Danio rerio: one gene and its partners. The protein of the gene in region 2 purifies or fractionates together with the protein of the main gene of each other region. This does not show direct contact. Links are inferred from orthologs where the notes say so. Each region holds a gene or a part of one and is shown on either strand. Other genes may lie near its edges.

Evidence for each region. The genes of interacting proteins can lie anywhere in the genome.
Region 1: the proteins of anapc13 (region 2) and anapc7 purify together in Homo sapiens (affinity purification with mass spectrometry; 3 studies listed by BioGRID and IntAct, counting the BioPlex papers as one, with this or other methods). This does not show direct contact. The link is inferred for Danio rerio from reciprocal best matches to the Homo sapiens genes ANAPC13 and ANAPC7.
Region 3: the proteins of anapc13 (region 2) and cdc26 purify together in Homo sapiens (affinity purification with mass spectrometry; 4 studies listed by BioGRID and IntAct, counting the BioPlex papers as one, with this or other methods). This does not show direct contact. The link is inferred for Danio rerio from reciprocal best matches to the Homo sapiens genes ANAPC13 and CDC26.

What each region holds. Positions count from the first base shown.
Region 1 is NC_133183.1:13,343,921-13,348,232, reverse strand, and holds the start of anapc7 (anaphase-promoting complex subunit 7), read left to right. Parts: upstream 1-1,360; coding exon 1,361-1,461; exon of another isoform or gene 1,462-1,721; intron 1,722-4,312. UniProt on the Homo sapiens protein: Component of the anaphase promoting complex/cyclosome (APC/C), a cell cycle-regulated E3 ubiquitin ligase that controls progression through mitosis and the G1 phase of the cell cycle.
Region 2 is NC_133196.1:25,981,967-25,984,870, forward strand, and holds anapc13 (anaphase-promoting complex subunit 13), read left to right. Parts: upstream 1-1,531; 5' UTR 1,532-1,587; intron 1,588-1,657; exon of another isoform or gene 1,658-1,702; 5' UTR 1,703-1,708; coding exon 1,709-1,807; intron 1,808-2,065; coding exon 2,066-2,191; 3' UTR 2,192-2,353; downstream 2,354-2,904. UniProt on the Homo sapiens protein: Component of the anaphase promoting complex/cyclosome (APC/C), a cell cycle-regulated E3 ubiquitin ligase that controls progression through mitosis and the G1 phase of the cell cycle.
Region 3 is NC_133180.1:62,620,640-62,624,755, reverse strand, and holds cdc26 (anaphase-promoting complex subunit CDC26), read left to right. Parts: upstream 1-1,465; 5' UTR 1,466-1,525; intron 1,526-2,014; 5' UTR 2,015-2,039; coding exon 2,040-2,120; intron 2,121-3,069; coding exon 3,070-3,255; 3' UTR 3,256-3,464; downstream 3,465-4,116. UniProt on the Homo sapiens protein: Component of the anaphase promoting complex/cyclosome (APC/C), a cell cycle-regulated E3 ubiquitin ligase that controls progression through mitosis and the G1 phase of the cell cycle.

The sequences.
Region 1 (4,312 bases), on a different chromosome or scaffold from region 2:
TGATGATAGGAGCAGCTTAATTCATTACATGTTTTGGTTAACTAATTATTTAAACACAACTTTCTTGAGCTCCAAAAGGAAAAAAAACACATAAGAAATTTGCTGTTAAATTAATTTTAGCAGAGACGCAACTGCCAGTCTTATTAGTTTTTCGGGAAGATGTAGCCTAATAAGAATGTTTTAATAAAAAAAATAGTTTACTACACAGTCTCACAGTAGGCTACACTATAAATAATATTTAAATTTATTTATTATTATTATTAATATTAATATTATTACAATTAAGCTAAAATTGACAAAACGCAGAACCCTTTGAATGCTTTCATCTTGCTAAAAAGCGCACTTTGTGTAGAGAAACATCCCATTATGCAGCAGCAGTCAAGCTATAATAATAAATATGCCTTTTGGGTTTAAAGATGATCGGCCTGCGAAGTCAAGTTTGCAGTGTTATAAATGGAAAAGGTATAGAACTTAAGTGGAATTACCGCGGATCAACCGAGGAACCACTCACGTGCGCTGCAGGTAGGCAGAAAGATAATCTTTTAAAAACATGTAATTTAGGCTATACTGCTATTTGCTCATGCAAATTAAACAACATAAAATATATTGTAGATCTATTTTAAGAGCTAAAATACAACATATCGAGTTCGTTTTGACTAGTAGCGCATGGCCCTAAAATGAAAATAACCTGAAAACAAGCTATTAAAAAAGGCTTAATAAATAAAATAATTAATAAATAAAATAACGGGTTGGCCTAGTAACCTAATGGTTTATGATGGTTTGCAATATCACGAAAAAAACACACTTATGATAGCCTAAGATAAATATTTGTTTTTAAATTTAAAATGATGTTTGTAATTAGCATTTATCGTCAAAATAACTTTATTTTAGTTAGAATAAATTGCTGACTTTTTAACATAAACTTAATCCACTCATATTTCGCCATTGCCACAAAAGTTATTTTCTAGACATTTTTTGCATTTAATGTATAGAAAAGATTTTTTTTAAAGCGAAAAAAAAAACACTAATCTGTACATTTGTTCGTTTCTCTCGTAAACACAGTGAAACTATTGTCAAATGTTAGAAATCATACTTGATTAATGTATTTTTAAAGCATATGCTTAATTTTTTTTGTAAAATGTGAAACTTAAGACCAAATAACCTCAAACCTGAAATATTGTAAACAACACTTGCCAAGAGCGGCGACTTTTCTTTTGGCGATATATCCGACTTTTATTTTGAAATATTATTGTTTCCTGCAGTTCAAAAAATCTTTTCTCCGTCACTGTGCTGTGTTTTCCGCTGCGCTGCGTATCGATTACTTACCAGAATTGTGCTTTCAGACTCAAAGATTTTGAAGATGAATGTGATCGATCATGTGCGGGATATGGCAGCGGCCGGACTGCACTCTAATGTCCGGATCATCAGTAGTTTACTCCTGACCATGAGCACCAACAACCCGTGAGTGCGTCACTATATAAACACACCTGGAAGACTGACCAAATATTGGATATTACATGTGATGTGTTATTTATTAAAAACAGATATGTGACGTCATAATACAGTAAGCTTAAGTGAAGTAATGTAACGTTAGTGTAATTTAATAAGAGCAACAATACCGTCAGATATTTAGGTAAAGTTGGTCACATTCGTTCAGGGACAACTTGTAACACGCTCTCTATATTGTTTACTATGGTACTTTGATTATTAAGTCAGCAATGGTATGTAAACATGACTTCAAAACAACAATACCACCATTTAATTGACTGTGAACAATGTTGTACTTTAATAGTCGCTCGCTGTTAATATGATTTTACTATTCGTAAATTGCAAAGAATCCTTTTCGGAAAGTATATTATTAAGGAGGAAGTCAGAATGTGCGAATATAAAACCAAATTTACCCCAGTGTCCACAATTCACTATGGTATTAACCATTGTTTTTCCAAAAGTGCTAGTTATTTTTTTTATTAACGTTAGCTATCATAGTTTTTGGGTATCTCCTTTAGGTAAGGCAAGTTTATTTCAATCACCAGGGTAATTCAAAGTGCTTTACATAAACAAGAATAAAAGAATCAAGAAAATAAAAAATAAACTAATTAAAAATGATTAAAAACATAATAAAATGTTTTATTTTTCAGCATTCTTTCAACATTCATTTTGTGGACATTCATATTGTGAATATTTCTACAGTATATCATGTGTGTATATCAATTTTAAAGTCATAATTATGATAGCGTTTACTATTTTGGCAAAACATTGTTATTGTTTGTTTGTGTGTATGTTTGGATATGTTTATTAACTGAACACCCAAGGTTTATTTTACTTTTCTCTTAAAGGTGTTAACATATTGTATTTTACTGTGCAAATTGTAATAATTAAAGCGTCTGCACTATTGTGGCATAACATGACATTATTATTATTATGTTTAGGTATTTCTGATTAGGCATGGGCCAGTATAAGATTCTGACGGTATGATAACCTTGGTTAAAAATATCATGGTTTCACGATATTGGGATTGCTGCCCTAAAATAACTTCTTTTTAAATGTCTCGGTATAAAAGAAACATTTTTTTCTACTTTGCACACAATATATATTATTTTGAGAAATATTTTAAATATTTTGGAGCAGTAAACATGTCAGGCTAAATAAGAACCATCGTTATACAATGACTTGCCTAATTACCCTAACCTGCCTAGTTAACCTAATTAACCTAGTTAAGCCTTTAAATGTCACTTTAGGCTGTATAGAATTGTCTTAAAAAATATCTAGTCAAATATTATTAACTGTCATCATGACGAGATAAATAAATCAGTTATTAGAGATGAGTTATTAAAACTATTATGTTTAGAAATGTGCTGAAAAAAGCTTCTCTCCGTTAAACAGAAATTGGAATAAAAAAAAAAAACATGGGGGCTAATAATTCCGACTTCAACTGTATATACAATTTTATTGTCTTAATCATGATAGTGACTGCTATTTTGGCAAAACATTATTGCTGTTTATTTGTTTGTTTGTATGTTTGGATTTGTTTATTAGTATTAACGCCCTGTGTTATATCAATATTTTTCTTGAAGGTGTTAATATATTGTATTTTACTGTGCAAATTGTAATAATTATAGCGCCTGCACTATTTTGGCAGAACATAACACTATTAATATGTTTAGGTATTTCTGATTAGGCATGGGCCGGTATAAGATTCTGACGGTATGATAACCTTGGTTAAAAATATCATGGTTTCACGATATTGGGATTGCTGCCCTAAAATAACTTCTTTTTAAATGTCTCGGTATAAAAGAAACATTTTTTTCTACTTTGCACACAATATATATTATTTTGAGAAATATTTTAAATATTTTGGAGCAGTAAACATGTCAGGCTAAATAAGAACTAAATAACTTCTTCTGCCTTCATTTGTTTAAAAAACACAGATTTCCGTACAATTTAATACAGCATGTTAGGACATTTTTTTCTGCTGGAGATACTGTTGTCCTAATAAAAAAAATAAAAAAACGTAAATAAAAAAATCTTACACAATCTTAGAAACTGTGTAGCAGAAAATTTTGGTGGTTTTAAAACCTTGACTTTTCCAAACCACGGTATATCTTGAAAACGGTTATCTTCCCATGTCTATTTCTGATTAGATTTGTTAATTAAACTCCCAAAGTGTCCCAAAGTTATATTTCTCCTCATGGATATTTCTTACTTGTACATATATACACATATTTAATGTCTTAATTAATATCCGTAGGGATTCTCTATTGAGGTAAAACTAAAACATTACTTGTTTTTGTATTTTTGGATCAGTTTATTATTTTAAAACCCGGTTCCCCATTGAGAAGTCAGATGTGTTGACATTTAGGTTCACCCCAAAATGTACATTTTTAGTAGGACATTAAAAAAGAAAATTTATTCATTCATTCATTTTCCTTCAGTTTAGTCCCTTTATTCGTCAGGGGTCGCCACATAAAGGCATAAGTTAGCTTTTTTTCTAAATCAATCATTGTTTTGAATGAATCGTTTGAGTCAACGGTTCACTGATCTATTCATAAAGACAGGAATTTCCTTAAGAATATGTTTAAATATGTCTCTTCACGAATATATACACACTATATCATGTATATATACAGTTAAAGTCAGAATTATTAGCCCCCCTTTTGCATTTTTTCTTTTCTTTTTTTTTTTTTTAATATTTCCCAAATTATGTTTAACAGAGCAAGGGCAATTTCACAGTATGTCTGGTAATATTTTTCTTCTAGAGAAAGTCTTATTTGTTTTATTTCAGCTAGAATAAAAGCAGTTTTTATTTTTTTTA
Region 2 (2,904 bases):
ATATTTTTACGGAGGGATTTGAAGATCTCTTTTTATCGCTCCATATTTCAGAAAACACTGCAAAATGCCATAAAATACTTTTTACGTTTTTTGTACAATAAAATGTTTGGAATCTGGTAAATTATCTGGTAATCTGCTTAACCTGTCACTCTTTAAAACTTCTTTAGAGTACAGACAGAACTGTAAAGGTCTATATATTATAAGTGCTGCTGAAGTGGAGATATTTAGCTGAATACAAGAAAAAAATCCCTTTGAGAAAAGTCTTTACAAATATGTATTGAAGATTAAATTTACAGGCACAAATAAATAAAGTGTGACAAAGGACAAACGGCAAAAATATTTTGGATGTTTTCTTTAACTGTTAACTGAACAAATAACACTGCATGACAAAATACAAAAAAGTCTCAAAACTGACATGTGGATAAAATAATGTCTTGACATAAAATGTGAGTGAAGAGAAAATCATGTGAACAGTACTGTAATAATCTAAGCAAAATACTGGTAAAGAAAAACACGGAGAATACTAACTTAGGTACATGCAATTGCACCTTCCCCAGCATTGTAAACTGTAACTTTGTACTTTTAAGACAATATAAACAAAAGAGGATCAAGAAAGAATGCACAGCCTGTGATTTCTGATTACAAATAGTCAAAGCTAATACTGTAATTGCAGGTAACAGTCAGCTTACCTGTAAAGGTGCTTTTGAAGACACAACAGCGAGGAAAAACAGCTGAAGTAAAAACCCTCTGACCCTCTGTTGTCACTGCAGTAGCACAGTCGAATGCAGCCAATAGCGGCTCACTTCCTTACAGCGCGAGCTCGATTGCTCACAGCTCATTGGTCAGATTCGAGATCTGGTCATGGCGTTAGTTGAGCGGTTAGTACATCTACCCTTCGTGTATCGGTTGTTTCGAACAGCTCGACTCAACCGCTTGTAACGATTCGGCGATTTTTTGACGTCTTGACGTAATTGTCGTTTTTACTTGCCCGACCTCCGCGCATGGCTTTTACATGCATTCTGTATACTGAAGAAAAATACTTGTAAATATGTTTTACACATTTACAAAACGGTGATATTGTTTGAATGTATAGCATGTATAACGTTACATGTCTTTACAATGGTTACAATATATGTGTATTAGTATATTTATTAGTATACTATATATTAGTATATTTATGTGTGTATATATATATACACACACACACACACATTATAAAGTGCATCGATTTTCATCTGCTCAAATATATATTTCAAATATGCATTTAAAGTACACAAATCTGTAATTAATAAGCATCTTTTGACTGAAAACATATAAACGATTCTCTCGTTTATACGTTAGTGAACATATTTCCAAAAAAAGAAAAAAATTATATTTACAAATTATTAATAAAAACGTGCATTGTCATTGCTTTGCCATATTTAATGCGACTATGTTTAATGCGAAAAATAGCTGACAACATAGAAATATAATAAGTATACAGTTGTCCAGATATTTATATGCCAGAAAAGGTCTGATGCATAGGATATGTCGTCATCAGAAAGCGACATAACAACAAACGGCAGCGCTGGGAACTAGACTACACAGGTTTGTATGAACTTACACAGATGATTTTGGAGCTTTCGTAATAACAAACATAACATAACTTACTGTACAGCGTTTCTGCGTCGTTTGATCTGTCGACTGTGTGTTGCCGTGTAAGCGAATCATGGACAGTGAAGTGCAGAGAGACGGACGAGTTCTTGATCTAACAGATGATGCCTGGAGAGAGGACAGACTGCCATACGAGGATGTGACGATCCCACTGGTAAGAAATAGTATAAATGTAGAGTTTTGATGTGTGCAGTTCGATTTGCGCACGCCCAAGGTAAAATGAACATAAATGAAAGGCAGTGTACAGTGAGATAACGTTATGCACATCAAATACAGTTTTAAAAATAGTTTGTCATCATTTACGTTACATTTCCACACAAGAATCCCTAAACTATTTGAGCATATCTTTAACGTTACTGTGTTTAAATTGCGTAGAAGCCCATTGGACAATTTTGTTTTTTTCTCCTGACAGAGTGAACTTCCTGAAGCTGAGCAGGACAATGGTGGGTCGACAGAGTCCGTCAAAGAGCAAGAGATGAAGTGGTCAGATCTCGCCCTGCAGAGTTTGCATGAAAACACCCCAAATGTCGGCACTTAGATCAGAAGCTTCTCTTATCCTCTCTGACTGATTCTTCACCGTGTGTTTGTCTGCAATTTGGGTCCCGGATCCAAGATTTATAAAATAACTGACTCATGTATTATTGTATTGGTGTTTCATCGTTTTGATATAAATTATTTAATAAAATGATACACATTTTAAGTGCAGTATCAGTTAGTTTGTGTGCTAGTTGATAAAATTATCGTTGACATAGGGTTTCATATGAGCTAAATTACACAAGACTTCTTCACAAGTTGGCTTCCGTGTTGTAGTTCTAAAGCTGAGGGTCAGTAAAACCTTGTTTGAAGTATAATTTTATTTGGATGTTATAAATAGATTAAACGTGATATTAATTAGACCTATAATGTTACAAAATATTTCATTTAAACTTTTTAGTGGAATTCTGAGAAGAAAATATTATATATATATATAATTTCTAGTGCAACTGTGCTACCCAGTAGAACAAAACAGACCATAAGTGTCATTTTATTTTGTATATATTGAGATTTATACATCACGGGAAAGCTGAATAATTAAGCCTTCTGTTCATGTATAGTTTGTTTGGACAGTACAAAATACTGATATGCAACTATTGAAAATACCAAATCTGACGGTTAAAAAAAAATCTAAATACTGAGAGAGAAACGCCTTTAAATTTGTTTAAATAAAGTGCTTAGCAATGAACATTAGTAATCAAAAAATGTGGTTAGATG
Region 3 (4,116 bases), on a different chromosome or scaffold from region 2:
CACCTGTTTTCCACGTTGTTTGGACGCCTTACAATTACGTCTTTTCGACGACGTTAAAAAGACGTAGTTTCGTCTTTCACTTTCCCACCTGTTTTCCACGTTGTTTGGACGTCTGACAATGTCGTCTTTTCGACGTCTATTCGACGAACTATTGCTGGGTGGGGAGCTCATCTGTTTGTCGGAACTACTAGACACAATTTTTTTTATCAACTATAATGTGTTTAATTAGTTAATTTAAAATTCATTTCATTATTCCAGCAATAATTGTTGAGTGAAAGAATGCGCTAGAAATTTGCATTGCGGCTCCCTTTATTGTACAGGCTTATTGCACTTAAACTTTTTTAGGTTCGGCTCTCGAATTAGTAAGGTTATGAGTAAATGTTATTTAAAATATTTAAAGCCTGCCATCTAGCCTACAATAACAGCAAATTTAATAATAGAAAAAAATAATAAGACAGGCCTACTTTGGCGTTGCAATAAAATAGTATTAATTATCAAAAAAATAATTACAATATATAATTAAAATAGGAAGAAGTAAATGAAAACAAATGGTACCCTTTGTTTTTATAGCAGGGCCCAAAGTGTTCTTATTCTGGTTCTGCTAACAACTATTAAAAAGAAAAAAAACACACCAAACAATAAAAACACTAGTAACTGATATTAATAATAATAATAATTATTATTATTATAAAGCCCTATTATATTATTATAAAGATTGTTATGAAACAATCATGTAAACCAGGTGCTCCTCGGAAATGGCTATCTTTGCTCTGCATCAGGTGCACAGCAGCAAGAAGCTTGGCAGTGAACTATGACCTTATTTTAATGACAAATGTCTAAGAATACTGCTTTACGTTTTTATTTAATTTATACATACGCAATGAATGTAAGCCTGCTAACTGTGTGTGGTTCAAATGATAGAATATGTAAACTTAGTTAATATATAATTAAATAATAATAATTAAAAGCCTGCGTGTAAGGCTTTTATTTTGAGGGTGACGTCACGAGCGCAGATTTGGTTGACCAATTAGAGGAAAGTGGGCGTTTCAGCACCGCCTACATGTGTAAAATGAATTTTAAAGTCGTTTATCCGTTTTCCTACCCTAAACCAAAAAACGAAAATCCAGCCAAAATCTCGTTTTTTCGTTTTCTCGTGAGCAAAAGGAAAAACGGCCGTTTTCTCCATTTCCTTTATTCCGTTTGAAAATGGAAAACAAATGAACAAAACGTACACGGACCGTTCTAAAACAACAAGTTTTGTACATTTAGTTTTAAAGGTTTAACTAAATAAATCGATCAAAAACTTGAAGAAAAAAACTAAGGTTAATGAACATTTCAACCGTCTATGCCCTTAAATAGACAGTGAAAGAATAATTCAACTAATGCGATTATCAATTTAAAACTTGAAAAAATATAAAAACAGAAAAAACACACACGTTTATCCCTTTTTTCTCCCTTCACGCTTAAACTACATTTCCCATGATTCCTTCTGCTCTTTCTACGGTCTAAAGCGTGAATGATTACGGTAAGTGATGTGAGCTGAAATAGTCATCTTCTTTCAGTTTAGAATTGTTTGTCAATAGTTTGCCAAGCTTACTAAAATAAACGATCTTCACGGTTCATTATCCTGACGTTTGTCACTGTTTAAGACCCAGAATTTAGAGCTACTAGGCTAATTAGCATGTAGCTGCTAAACAATAACGTTATGGTGTTGAAGCAGGCGTCGCTGAATTTCTTGAAATTACGAAATACACAACACGACGGTAAACGTTCAAGTAAAGTGTACTGTGTATGCAGATATAATACTGCAATCATGGGCTTTTGCAACGTTAGGTTCCTTAAAACATAGCATTTGAGCTTTCTCAGAGTCAAAATATATATGAAGAGTTGAATAGAACTACCACAACTCAACTAGGTTAACCCATCGATTTCTAATGAACATACATTATATATGTAACGTTAACGTTAATAAGTGTGTAAATTAACTTAAGCAGCGCGTGTAACGTGTTTCCAGGCAACGAGAAGCCGGTGATGTGAAGATGCTGAGGAGGAAACCAACGCGCCTCGAGCTCAAGCTGGACGACACGGAGGAGTTTGAAAGTGTCAAGAAAGAGCTGGAGGTAAAATTTTGGACTTGTCATCGTGTCTTAAACATGTGTCATAAATAGTTGCTTCAATTTACTGTACACACATAAAGACATGTTCCTTCATCCCAGTGGGGACTCTCATAGACCCCTTAATGATGGTTCTACTGTACAAACAGTAGATTCTATCCCCCTACCCCTAAACACAACCCAATTTATCTGTACTGCATGTCTTTGGACTGTGGGGGAAACCGGAGCACCCGGAGGGAACCCACGCGAATGCAGGGAGAACATGCAAACTCCACACAGAAACGCCAACTGAACCATGGTTCGAACCAGCGACCTTCTTGCTGTGAGGCGACAGCACTAGGTCTGGTGCGACTGCTTCGTCCGAGGACAGGATTTTCCCGAATGTAATTCTATAAATTTGATGGGAGTAAACCCAATATAGAAATGTAAACAGAGATACGCTAGTGCTTGAGCCTACAAATGGACAAAGCAGTAAAATTAGTTATAAATCTTAGTGCAGCATGGTAAACAGTGTCCAGTGCATGCAGACTAGAAGACGAAGCATACATATAGATAACATCAGCGTAGTCCAATATCAACATAAATGTTGCATCAACCAGCTTTTTTGTAGCATCAAAAGTAAAGTTGTATTGGAGTTGTTCTACAGCTGATTTTGATAGACTACAGTTATGTGTTAGTAACCACAGCGAAAATATATTTCTGCTAAAAACATTATCAATTATGATTAAGTTATGATAATGATATTATTAGGTTATGAAAATGATACTTTAGTCCCTGCTCTCCCCTACTTAATTAAAATAAAGCAAAAATTCTTAGTCCACCACTGCAAATCAGTCAGTAATAGTGTGATTTCTTCATCATTCTTTTTCTCATTTAAAAGCAAGCATGTAAGCAAATCTTACAGAAAGTAAGAAGCTTTCTATAATCTCATGTTACTTTCCCCACATGTGTTAAGAGTCGGAAGAAACAGAGGGATGAGGTGGATGTCGTCGGTGTCGCCACATCCAGTGAGATGAGCGGAGCGGCAGGTGGCACTGCTGATGGGAAAACCAGAGAGCAGATGATTCACGAGAGAATTGGATACAAACCCCACCCCAAGCCTAACACGTTACCATCGCTCTTCGGAAACCTTCAGTTTTGACAAGTGCCAATCCTGAACAATGGACTATAAGGTCTTGAGAATCTGTAACACAGACACGTACGTGCACACAGAATATATTCTGCATCAATCTTGCCAGATTAGAAATGGACATAAAATTATGGCTTTGGTTAACGGTGTTTGTGATAACTGATTTCAAATGACTATTTTTCTATTGAAATAAATAAAGCCTTTCTAGTTGGATGTGGAAATGGTGTGTAAATGTGATATTGGCAGAATTATATTTTTGATAATACCGATTAGGGCGCAACGATTATAAATTTTGGTTGTACGATTATAGTATTAGAAATAATCACGTTTATCATGATTATTTGCATTCATTGATCCCAAAACCCCATTAGTTTATAAATAGTTTAAAACGGTTTTAAATTTTGTTTTATATATTGTGCCCAACTAAATATTTGTTGCTGGTTTAATCGTTTAATTTTATTTAAGTGCATATAAAAAATTCAGTGGATATTATTGATGCATTATTTGGTAAAACTGCTCATTCAATGTGTTTTTGGTCATTATCAATGCACCGGTAAAATAGACCCAGCGGCGAAACCACGACTGCTTGCATGATGCTCATGCCTCGTGTTGACGCACTGCTTCTGCATGCAGTATGAAAGCTCTAATCTGTTAACATGGATGCGAAAAAAAACACTCTCTGGTCATGCCTGCGGTGTGAAACAGGCTTGAGTCTTTCACCACTGTCTTTAAAAACATTCAGTTGATCCCAGCTGGGGATTCGCCACATGATTGCTCTCCACAACGCCATTATTTGTAACTTTAAGTGGGTTTGCCAATCTGTGTCCTTTCCAGTGCTTCTTCCTTAAACCGTTAGCCGTTTGCAATTCCCAC